Linked DNA regions of Macaca fascicularis. The protein of the gene in region 1 purifies or fractionates together with the protein of each later gene. This does not show direct contact. Links are inferred from orthologs where the notes say so. Each region holds a gene or a part of one and is shown on either strand. Other genes may lie near its edges.

Region 1 (5,743 bases):
ATAAAGACTAAAAGGCAGAGGAATTACCAAGGGCAGGCCTTGAAGGATCTGATAGAAGAGAGTGGTGAGGAAGTCTGAAGGAAAAAAACGGAAGTTTTCACAGATGAGAAAGTATGAAAATGAGGAATACATCACATATGATAGGTACTCCCTTCATACAAGTTAATAAAAAGAAGAGCCTGAATAACCTGAGAATGTAATTTATGGAGATAGAAATGGAGGATTTGCGCAACTGAAGGGGAGGTGGTGCTGCATAAGCTATATGGAAAAAAGTGATTGAGTAAGCAGTTGCAACTGCTAACATTTTAAAGCAAACTACCTTGGAAGGTACCAAACCTACCATGCCGTTTTCTTCTCTTTGGGATAAGGTCTATTGTGTCCCTTTAAGGACTTTAATGATTCCATAATTTTTAATTAACATGAACAATTTCATTCAAGCATAACATTTATGGGTAAGGTGAAAAATAAGAAATCTAGCAGAACAACATGCTTTTATTTTACCATCATGCATAAAAAGGAAGACAAATATGCCAATGGTACACTTCCAATTTGTCAGAGCAATTTCACAGTATTTAAGCAATTTAGGAAAAAAGACACATCACTTACTAAGTTGTTACCAGGGAAAATTATCATGTAAGACAATCAATTAAACCACACTTTTGTAGATTATTTTTCCACGAAGGCAATTTGACAAGCCTAACAAAGACCAAGTTGTTCAAACTATGTTTCTAGGAATATAGTTTAACAGAAACAAGAACAAGTTGAAAACTGTTATGAATATTCATATGTCTCTATATTGTACAGGAAAGTAAAGACTATTGTTCTTCCAAATGTTCCCAATTGAAATCAAAAGAATGTCTGCACAGCTCAATTTTCACAATAAGTTTAGAAACAGAAAAAAAATAAGATTTTACTAAATCCTAATGAAATAACAATCACCCACATAAATCAGGTCACAAAACAAGCAAGCAAGCATTCAAACTTGCGTTGTGTTTCTTTAAAGAACCCTTGTCTAGGCAACATATTTAACACTTTAACCCCTTCAATTCTCCTTTAGCAATCCTGAAAAGAATTTCTCCATTCATCACCATTGAGGAGTAAGTACTCCTACCTCGAAGGCTCTTAACATCAGCACAGTCTTCATTCTAGGCCCAATTTTTACCTGGCCCATGCCTCTAGCCTTTTGTTCAGTTTCCCCTGCTTAGGGCACCCATCACAATCTCTTTAGTTCCTCCACCCATTATAAACTAGATCTCACCTTTCATCCCATCTAGACGTGTCTCCCTTTAAATATTCTAGGAGCTGATAAAAGGGCTAGGAAGTAGGAAGTTGGGAAGAAAGAAAGGGGTGGGGGCATAAGAGCTTTAGCACTCTTATTTTACAGGACAACTTGTCTCTGAAAATGACAGAACCAAAATGAAATTAAAAGCTTGCTTTTACAAATATTTCTGAGCTAATACTTAAAAGAGAGGAGTGGGAGGCTGAGGCGGGCAGATCACGAGGTCAGGGGTTCGCGACCAGCGTGGCCAGCATGGTGAAACCCCCATCTCTACTAAAAATACAAAAATTAGCCCAGCATGGCAGTGCGCACTCGTAGTCCCAGCTACTCGGGAGGCTGAGGCAGGAGACTCGCTTGAACCCGGGAAGTGGAGGTTGCAGTGAGCCGAGATCGCACCACTGCACTTCAACCTGAGCGACAGGGCAAGACTCCGTCTCAAAAAAAAAAAAAAAGGCAGAGGAAAAGAGGGAGAGAGGGACCTTGGCAGGAGCCAATGCAGGGCAGGTAGCTATAGAAAGTGACTAGAGGTGAAGGAAGAGCAATAAAGTAGCATAAATCACACAGAACAAGCGGCTCACTGCTTTTCTCCTCTGAGTTCATTAACGTCCAGTAACTGTCCACAGGGCATGCGCCCTTACTTCACGATGCAGAGCTGAGTAGGTGGAATAGGCTCCCAAAGGTAGAAATCCAGGTGATAGCAACCAGTTCAGAGGCCCTGGGAATAAACAGCGTCCAAGCAGTGCAGATAAAGGCAGTACAATCTACAGTATCATTTGCTTGGCTTACAAGTAGCGTGAAGGATGACCTCGTAGCATGTGATATTCCAGAACAGCATGAAGGTCATATGGAAGTGGAGACGCATACCCACCACCGTCTCAATCTTGAGGTTGAGAGAACTGAATATCCAAAGGAAAGAGGGTGCAGAAAAGTCAGCAAAAACAAAACACAGTAGAAGACATACCCATTGCTGATGCCCAAGCACAAGTCCAGCAGAAGGTGGTAGGAGACCTTGTGCAGGAGTATTCCCAAGGGCAAATGTTAACCAGACTGGAACCCAAAGGGCCTCGGGATCTCTACTGGCTCCCTTAGTGGGCGACGTCTGGCTCTACGGACTCCTTCACGCAACAGGTAGTATTGCAGTGGATTTGGCCACAGATCCTCTTTAATAATCTCAGCAATTTTGTCGGACTCTGGAAGGCTGTGGTCTGAAAACCAGGTGAAGAAGCTGCAGATGAGGTCTTGGTTTCTGCGAATGAAGGACTGGGGTTCATGCCCCCTGCGCCATATAATTGGAGTAGAAAGAGACACCACCCGGCCGGAGGATCTTACCTCATATTCCTTGACAATCAGCTTGTTTCTGAAGTAGGGGTTTCTTCTAAAGAAGAACTTGAACTTGCAGCCGGTTCTAGGGTGTCTGAGTTCCTTCACCTCTAAATTGGTTATGTACCTTAACATCTCTGCATCTTGGCCCCTAATCATGGCGGACAACTGGGGATGGTTTCGAAAAGCCGTCATCCAGAAGCCCGGGATATTCTGAATGATGTAGTTCCTCCGCTCCAGGTAGTGTCGACGCATCCGCCCAAACTTGTGCTCCAGCTGTTGGAAGGCCCTGTCGGCCTGAGCATTCACAGTGTCCAGTTCCAGCTGGATGGCCTCCAGAGGGTCCATGCGGAGAGCCTCATGCAGAGGCCAGGGCCCTTCCTCCTCCCTCGCCTCCTCCTCCACTCTATCTTCCTCCGCCACTTCTATTTCTTCACCTTCCGGCAGCTGCTCCTCTACCTCCATCTGCTCCTCCACTACCTCCTTCTCCGCCAGGCCTTCCTTCACCACCACCTCAGCGCTCTCCCCCTCAGCCACGGCTGCTAAGACAGTGGCGCACTTTCCTGTCTTCACCTCCTCGGTGTCGTTCTCGGCCCCCGCCCCCGCCGGCAGCTCAGACGCGGATCTCTCGGCGCCATAGATTTCTAGGGCCTTCTCTCCACCCTGAACGCCCTTTTTCAAGCTGCGGTCCACTGCCACCACCACCACAGAAGCGGCTGCCAGGCCCTCAGCGGGAGGCTGGCCCTCTTCCTGCCCGGCTTTGATCGCCACATGACCGCGACCCCCAATAACTCGGATCTGGGGAGTACTGCCACGGCCCGCGGGATCCTGAGGTACGCCCCCCTCCTCTGAAGGCTGTGGAGGCGGGAGCGCGATGGTCTCCGAGCCTCCCTCACCCGGCTCCGCCATCACCTGTGTCGTCTCGCTTTGGTCGCGGAGCTTCAGGCACTGGTGTGCGTCCGGGTCGCTCGGGACGTGGTCAGAAATAATGATGCTGTGGGTTTGGAGGGGAGGGGTCCTCTCGACCCCATCCACGCCGCTCATGTTGGTAACAGTCGGACCAACCGCAGGTGAACGCCCGTTTTCCTCAGAGAAGCCGAGCTCGGAGCTAACCGCCGCTCGCACCGCCCACCCGCCAGTCTCACTAACATCTCCGCGGCGGTGTCGTCAGGGATGCAGATCTCACGGTATCGCGAGAACTTGCTGAGCCCGGGATTGGTTCCGCCGCTCCCTGCCAGCCAACCGGATTCTCTGGGCTTTACTTCTGTGAATTTACCCATAGCAACAGTAATTTTAACTACGTAAATATATGTAGATTGTGCTGAGTCTGAAAGCACTGACGACCCACCTTGAGACGCATCTGGAGACTTCTCCCAGCATGTAGGAGCGGTTGTAAAATCACAGCCGTTCCTGCTCTCCAGTGTCTGAAAACAAATGTTTTTCTGGTCTTCACTTTTTTGAGGCTATTAATCTTAAAAAGAAGTATTTTGCTCCTAGTTACGTGGAGTAACTAATGTTTGCCCCCTTCTAAGTAAAAGTGACATAAAAATGTCAAGTCTAGCCTCTACGATTACTGGGGGAAAAAAAGCTACTCAGCTTCCTTACCACTAAAGCGATGCTTATTATTCATTGCTAATTTTTTATGTATGATCTGCATCAAATAAGAGTTTGTGCTGCATAATATCTGTAGGAATTAAGCCAGGATCAGTTTGCTAAATGTTGTTTCATGCCTCCTCACTGCAAGAAAGAGGAAATAATAACTATTTCCAGCCCCATGATCTTAATTTGTTATCATATTTAGTTATGTAAGATAGGAATGTTTGGCTCTAATGAAGCATTTGTCTTTAGCAATCAGCTAAGAGTTCATTAGAGGGGAATGTTAATGTCTCTGGTTGAAGTGTTCCAGTTTTTTGACTTGTGAGTTAAACTGGTGCTATCTTAGAGAGTTACAAGGCCTCAGAGAAATATCAGTAGGGGGAGCAACATACCACCATTTTGTGAGGAAAGGCTAGTTAAAATGGACAACAAAGATGGCCTTGAAGTAGAAAACAAACTTGCAAAGGGCAACATGCAGCTGGTTGACTCAAGGCGTAAAAGAGGCAAACCTTATTTTCTACTTAATTTGCTTCGTGTGGTAGTAAGCTGATGGCCCTCAGAGATGTACCAGTCTTAGTTATGTGGCTAAAGGGACTTTGCAGATATGATTAAGTTAAAGGTTTGGAGATGAGAAGATGATTCTGGATTATACAGATGGGCCCTATGGAATTACATTTCTTAGAAGAAGGAGGCAGGAGGGTCAGAGAAGATGAGAGGACGAAAGCACAGAGAGAGGGAAAGAATGGTGGAGAATAGGAGGGGGAGGGAGGAAAGGGAAATCGCTATGTTGCAGGCTTTGAAGATGGAGGAAGGAGTCAGGATCGTAGGAATAAAGGCAGCCTCTAGAAGCTTGAAAGGTAAGGAAATAGATTCTATCCTAGAGCCTCCAAAGGAATGCCAACACCTTGAGGTTATTACCTCTAACCTCCAGCACTATAAGATAATAAATTTGTGTATTTTAAGCTATTAAATTTGTGATAATTTGTTACAGAAGCAATATTAAATGAATACACTTTGGATTAAGGTTTGGTTGCATCTATGGGTGCCTCAAATTGTTTCTAATTTGCCCCTTCTGCCTTGCTCATTGCTTCCCATGAGTTTCTGCCCAACAGCTGTGATGTATTACAGCTTGAATCTGTCTTTCAATATCAAGACCAGATATACACCTAGGCAATACACAGAGACAAAATTAAAGCCTAAACATACCACAAATGATATCTGAGGAGACCGTAAACTGCAAGAGGACAAGATCATGGTTTTGTTTCCCTCTGTTTATCGAGTGCCTAGCACACTACCTTGCACAGTATCCCATAGATTATTAAAATGTTAAATAAAGGAGCAACTGAGCAGAAAACAGTTTCTCTTGCTTACAACTTGCTGCTTGCAGAAGACAAGTAAGGGGCATATGGGTTGTCACCTGCTCTCCTTCCTATCTGCCACTGGCAAAACAGAGAGCTGCTCTACTGTATATAGTAATAGATTCTTACTCAGGAGAATAAATTTCTATATATGCTTCAAAGGCTCTAAAAGGATAGGAAAAACACAGAG
Region 2 (5,620 bases), on another chromosome or scaffold:
GCTGTTAATTATAAAAGTAACTGGACTTGGCGCCAACGGGCTAACTATGATCAGGCTCAGCAATTAGAAAAACTCTGTAGAAAGTTTACTGAGTGATTATATATAATTAATTCCTAGTTACAGACTGAACACTGACCATTTTCTGGAGCTAATAAAAGCAGTTACTCCCCCTCCCCCACGTGAATGCCACTTAATTTCCCAAAGCAGAAAGTGAACCCATCCTGGAGGGTCTTGAAGGAAAAAAAAAAGAGGAATCAAAAGCTTCAGTGTGTCTGTGTTTGCTCCTTGCAGCTGTGTATCCTCTTTGGGGACTGAGGAGGCAGAAGGAAAAAGGAAAACAGCCCAACATTCTGTTCCTCCCTCTGCAATTTACAAATGTGGCAGAGAGAACATTATACCTTGATGAGAAAAAGAAGGGGGGTTGGGGGGGAAGAAGGGAAGGGAGATGACCTAGGAATGGAAGGTAGGAGACTCTTCTGTTTGGCAGATCCGCTTTTCCTAAAAGGAACAAAGATGGTAGAAATTTCCAGAAGGCCTGTTCTTAGTTCGGCCACTGTAATTGTCAATCTTTAACCTTTCCTCCAAGTCTATTGGTTTAAAAGCTAGAGGAGAAGAACCCCATTGGGCTGCTCTGGGAGCCAGTACTGCCGTCCCTACCTAGTCCTGCTGCAATGCAGACATTTTTTTCCCCTTTCCTGAAACTGGAAAATAATGCTACTTTGAAAGCAATTAACTTTTTACAGACTCATGCTTGGTAGGGGTCACAGTACCAGAGGAAAAGTGGCTAGCTTGGTCCAGTGTTGGCAACTTGCTGGGGGCTGTACATCTGAGAACACATCTTGGCTCTCCAAACCTGTGGGAGCCATTTTAATGCAAGCTTTTAGAGGACAAACGCCTTGCCCTTAAGTTCCCTTCCAGCCCAACAAACACAGTATTATGCAAACGTTGAAGGCACCAAACCAGGAGTCTTATGATTAGACACTGCTTCTAGGGAGGCCACAAGAACCTCAATATGTAATTTCCATTTACAGCAAGGAGATAAGAACAAAGAAAATAGCTGAGTGTCTAAACTTACTTGTTTGGGGCAGTGGCACTGTTCAGTTTTAAGTATGTAACATCATTAACTGCCTGCAGTTTTACTCTAAGAAGCTAAGCTGGCCTGCCTTGCACAGACTTTTTTCAACTTAGAATGTGGTACGAAACGTTTCTCCTGATTAAATGAGCCTTTTTCCAATTTGGTGTCAGAAAGTGGGCTACTGGACACTCATTTGAAAGAAAAAAGATTACTGACTCCATAAAGTTGACATAACACAGCAATTGAATATATTTCCTGCATTTACAGTCATGTCAGATTGGTCTCCAAGCTGAAAATTTACGTACTGAACTTCTAGGGAAATTCTAAAGGTAATGCTAAACAAGACTCTACTTTTCCCACTTAACTTCTAGCTGCAGCCTTAAGAAGTCAAGGGAAATGTAAAAAGTGACAAATCTTATGTGGGGTCAGCATGCATACAGATGTGTGGATGAGACCTGAAAAAAGGCCAAAATGTGTTGGTCAGTGAGTCCTGAATCCAACCCCAGTCTGGTGGCAGATGAGATTTTGCACTATACATAAGTCCTAAAGCATGAGCACACTGCCACCACCACCCCCCAGCACACACATACCACCACCACCACCACCACCAGCTTCTGCCCCACCAATGTTTTTAGGGCTCTGCAACTCTAAGAACAAGCAGTTTCATTACATTTCACAAGCACATCACCTACTCACAGTTTGAATATCCAAACAAACCCCATTAAAGGTCTAGAGTCAAGTCACAATGAACTAAACACTTCTCCCCTGACTCAGGGTAAACAGGAAGTATAATCTTCAATCCTAGCTGCAGGTTATCAGGAAAAACAGTGGATTCAAACAGTCACCTAAAATCAAGACACTCTTTAAAAAGCCCTTATTTTGTTCCTGCTAATGAAGCCCCCAACTCCTGCAGCCAAGACCCCCTATTACAAACAGACCCCAAATGTTCGCAAAACTCTTCAAACATGGTCACAGAGGAAATGGATTGCTTTACTTACCCAACAAATGTTCAAGCAACCGTCTCATTTTTCCACAGTTAGGAAGAGAGAACAGGCTGGCAGATTTGGGACTTGATCAAAAAGGAAATTTTTTTAAACAGTTACATGGTATTATTAAAAACACACAACAACAACAACACCACAACCCAACAACTGAATATGGAATGCTGTCATGAGCCACAGACATGATTTTATTTCCTCTACACTCCATCACACAGGAGAAGAGAGGAGGATACAATGTATAAAAGGGACAGGAAAATGAAAACAAGGATAAAAGGTAACATTAGTTCCTTGAAAATCATGCAAGAGTAGAAAACTAAGGGATTCAGAATCCTTGCAGATTTTTTCTTTTTTTTTTTTTTTTTTTTTTTTTGCAGGATGTTGTCCAAGATCTCTCTCCCCACACCCCCCAGTCCCCATCCCTACTCCAAAAACTTCCTCCAAAACCTAGAAAACACTTTCAGAAACATTTGCTGGCTGTAGGCTGGCTTGCAGAACACTCTGTAGCAACCTAAGTCAGGAAAACAGGCTGAACAATGTAGTTTCAAGTGCAGAAGCTCTGTAGAATAAGAGAAGACCGTGTACAGACACCACCACCCACCTAGGCCCCAGGAGCTAGACTCTCCTTAGCACTGCTCTGCTGAGGGTTCAATTCTTTTGCAAACACGCTCCTCTCTTGTCAAAACTTATCCAGCCTTCCCAGAACCTCTTTGGAGAGGCAAACTTGCCTGCTCTGCTGTCTGCCATGAGCTCTCCTTGGAGAGGAGCCTGTTTGCTTACCTTCCATTTTCTTCCCCCAGCAGGGCATGTGGCAAAAGAGAAGACAATAGTGCAGGGGGGGGGGGGAACTGCTCAGAGAGAGAGAGAGGGGAAGAGAGAGGGAAGAGGGAAAGAAAAAAGAAGAAGAAGAAGAAGAAAAAAAAAAAAGCTTCTTTTTTGGCATACCAGGATCTAGCTTCAAACTCTTCCAGAAACACCATGCCCTGGTGGAAGGAAAGGTGTGCCAGGCCCTTGCCAGTTTGCAAAATCAAGCTATGGCTAATGGCTACTGAGCCATGTGACCCAAGAAAGCAAAAAAATTCTCTCTAAACAGTTCCAAGTTAACATAAGTGCTCTGGGGGTGAGTGTGGCACGGCCAGCCACAGAGAAATCACACTGCTCGCCCACAATTCGGATGTCTCAGAGGGAGGGGGAAAAAAGATGGTTAAAAAGTCGAGCTTACCTCTGTGGATGCATTGTTAACACTGTGTAATGTCAATACTTATAAAACATGGAGGACAGGCTCCTAGTTCTCACAGAAAAAGGGTTTGGCACTTCGGCTGATGATCTGGCCGCCTAATAAAAGCTCATCCCCGATTGGCTGCCCTGGCAAATCGGAGTGTAAAGCCGCCCCGGATTGGCTGAAACACTTCCTGAGCGATTATCTTTGTGAGGCTCGGGTGAGCAAGAGCCATCCTGTGCATAGAAAAAGACAGGCTAAGCTAGGCCTTTTGCAGCAAGAAAAACTTGGGAAAGGGGCCCCCACACGCACTTCTCCTGCACCCTGGCTAGATTTCCCGGCACGGGCCGGCCAGGGCAGCCAGCCTGACCTGCTCCAGGGAAGCCTGAGGACTGGAGGCCCCTGGGAAGGGAGTTTCTTGGAGTGGGCTGGAACGGCTCACCCTCACCTGCCCCCAGAGAAACGGCCCTTGTCCAGGGAGGAAGGCCAGCCGTTTTCTAGAACAGTCCAGCAGGGTGGCTCTCCAAGGGGAAGGGGAAGCTGGGGAGTGGGGAGTCCCACGGAAACAGCCAAGGGGGCCAGAAAAAGGGGCTTGAGGCAGGCCTCTGAGGAGCTGGGGAAGCAGGCAGACCGGGGGAGCCACGAAAAATCAGCAGAGAGCAGCCCTGGCTTCTCAGAGGAGCGAGGAGTAGCTGCTGAGGGGAGGAGGGGAGCAGAGTGGTCAAGTTTGCATAGTCATTGTCCCCATGCCTCCTTGCAAGGCAGGCCAGAGAGCCGTGGGCCTCTCGCCCTGCTTAGCCAGTCCTGCGTGCAAAATCAACGTGGGTTCCTGCCTCCCTGCCACGATGCCAAGGGGGACCCCTCTCCGTCCTTACCCTAAGAAAAACCCAAAGCCCTCCTCGCAGGCCACATGCCTGGATCTACAAACTTCCCTTGCCTCCCGGCCCCTCCCCCACGGCCGAGGCCTGCTAAACCTGTCAGTTAAACACAAATCTGACTTCCGTATTAGCCTGCGATGCCTTCGGCTTCCTGCCTGTTAACCCTCTCTCGGACTCCGGGCCTGGCTGGGAAAAACTAGGCCTTGAGATCGCAGCAAAGGCCTGTGGAAAAATACCAGCTGCAGCTCTCCCGGCAGATGCAGAGAGAGAGAGAGAGAGAGAGAGCCGCTGTCTCTCAGCCTTTGCTTCCCAGGGAGGCGTGTACCTTGTGAATCCAGGGCACAGGCAGTGCCTCTCGGGCTGAGAAGCCATTTCAATCCAGAGGGAGACAGAAAGATGGCACGCTCAGCCCGGAAACAAGAGCCCCCATTATGCGTCAGGCCTACCCCCGTAGGTCAGCCCTTCCTGCCACAATCATCCCTGTATGTGTGTGCCTGGGGGAGTTGGGCCCTCCTCGGTGGGCAGACAAATCCCCTGGGCTTCCTAAGGATTCTTGCTTCCATTTATTTGCACAGAGAACGGCTTCTTTTCGTCCCCCAAGGCAGATGGAGCAGCGATTTCACACACAGCCCTCCATTTGGCAGCCCCCCCACCCCCATCTCTGGCACCACTCCCCAGTAAAATATTAACTGGTTGTTCAGAGCTGCTTATCATTCTACCCACTTCAGTTGCGTTAGGAGGTCTTTGCCGGTCTCCTCCCTAAAGCTGCCTCTGCAGTTGGTCCGTACCCAGAGATCCAAAAGGACCTTAAAATGTCCAAGTTTTCTTGCTTGCTTTCCTTCTTCAGCATTTTAAATGACAAGGTGCTTAATTAACAGGATTTTTTAAAACAGCAAGCTGGAACCACAGAAGCTAAATAAACACCATTCTTTAGAGGCTGGAGAAAGCTTCCAGAGTTAACGCAGCCATATGCCAGGAGGCATAACTCTGGAGCAATAAAGTCTCCCCTCTCCTCCTAAAATTAGGACTTGTGGGCTTTCTTGTCCCACACGGTTCCCACAAAGAAAACGAAGAGCTCATGGCTTGCTTTCCCTGCCCTTCCAACCCCCACATGGACAACAGATGCCCACTGCTTGTACATAAATTCTTCCTGGCCGGGAATCTCCTATCAAACAGGCTCAGGAACGAGCTGGGAATTGAAACTCGCTGTACTGCAGGGCAGGACCCAGGCTTTATGAAAACGGACAGGATGTTGCTGTTGTTACTGTTTTAGACTGCTGAGGCCAAGCTGCAGGGAGGGACAGTTCCATGGCCACCCAACCTGACAAAGCTCCAGCGCTCAGGACAGCAGGCCTGGGCCTCACCAGAAGGGAGGGGCCTGCTCTTCCTGGAGGTAGAAAGCTGCATGGGGAGACCAAATGGGAGGAGGCGAGAGGTGGAGGCCACAGTG

The links. Proteins that work in one complex are often made in the same cells at the same time.
Region 2: the proteins of TSPYL1 (region 1) and ZMYND8 purify together in Homo sapiens (affinity purification with mass spectrometry; 4 studies listed by BioGRID and IntAct, counting the BioPlex papers as one, with this or other methods). This does not show direct contact. The link is inferred for Macaca fascicularis from reciprocal best matches to the Homo sapiens genes TSPYL1 and ZMYND8.

The regions. Positions count from the first base shown.
Region 1 is NC_088378.1:20,294,385-20,300,127, forward strand, and holds TSPYL1 (testis-specific Y-encoded-like protein 1), read right to left. Parts: upstream 3,746-5,743; 5' UTR 3,644-3,745; coding exon 2,318-3,643; 3' UTR 475-2,317; downstream 1-474.
Region 2 is NC_088384.1:103,409,229-103,414,848, forward strand, and holds the start of ZMYND8 (MYND-type zinc finger-containing chromatin reader ZMYND8), read right to left. Parts: upstream 3,370-5,620; 5' UTR 3,310-3,369; coding exon 3,296-3,309; intron 2,145-3,295; exon of another isoform or gene 2,074-2,144; intron 1-2,073. UniProt on the Homo sapiens protein: Chromatin reader that recognizes dual histone modifications such as histone H3.1 dimethylated at 'Lys-36' and histone H4 acetylated at 'Lys-16' (H3.1K36me2-H4K16ac) and histone H3 methylated at 'Lys-4' and histone H4 acetylated at 'Lys-14' (H3K4me1-H3K14ac).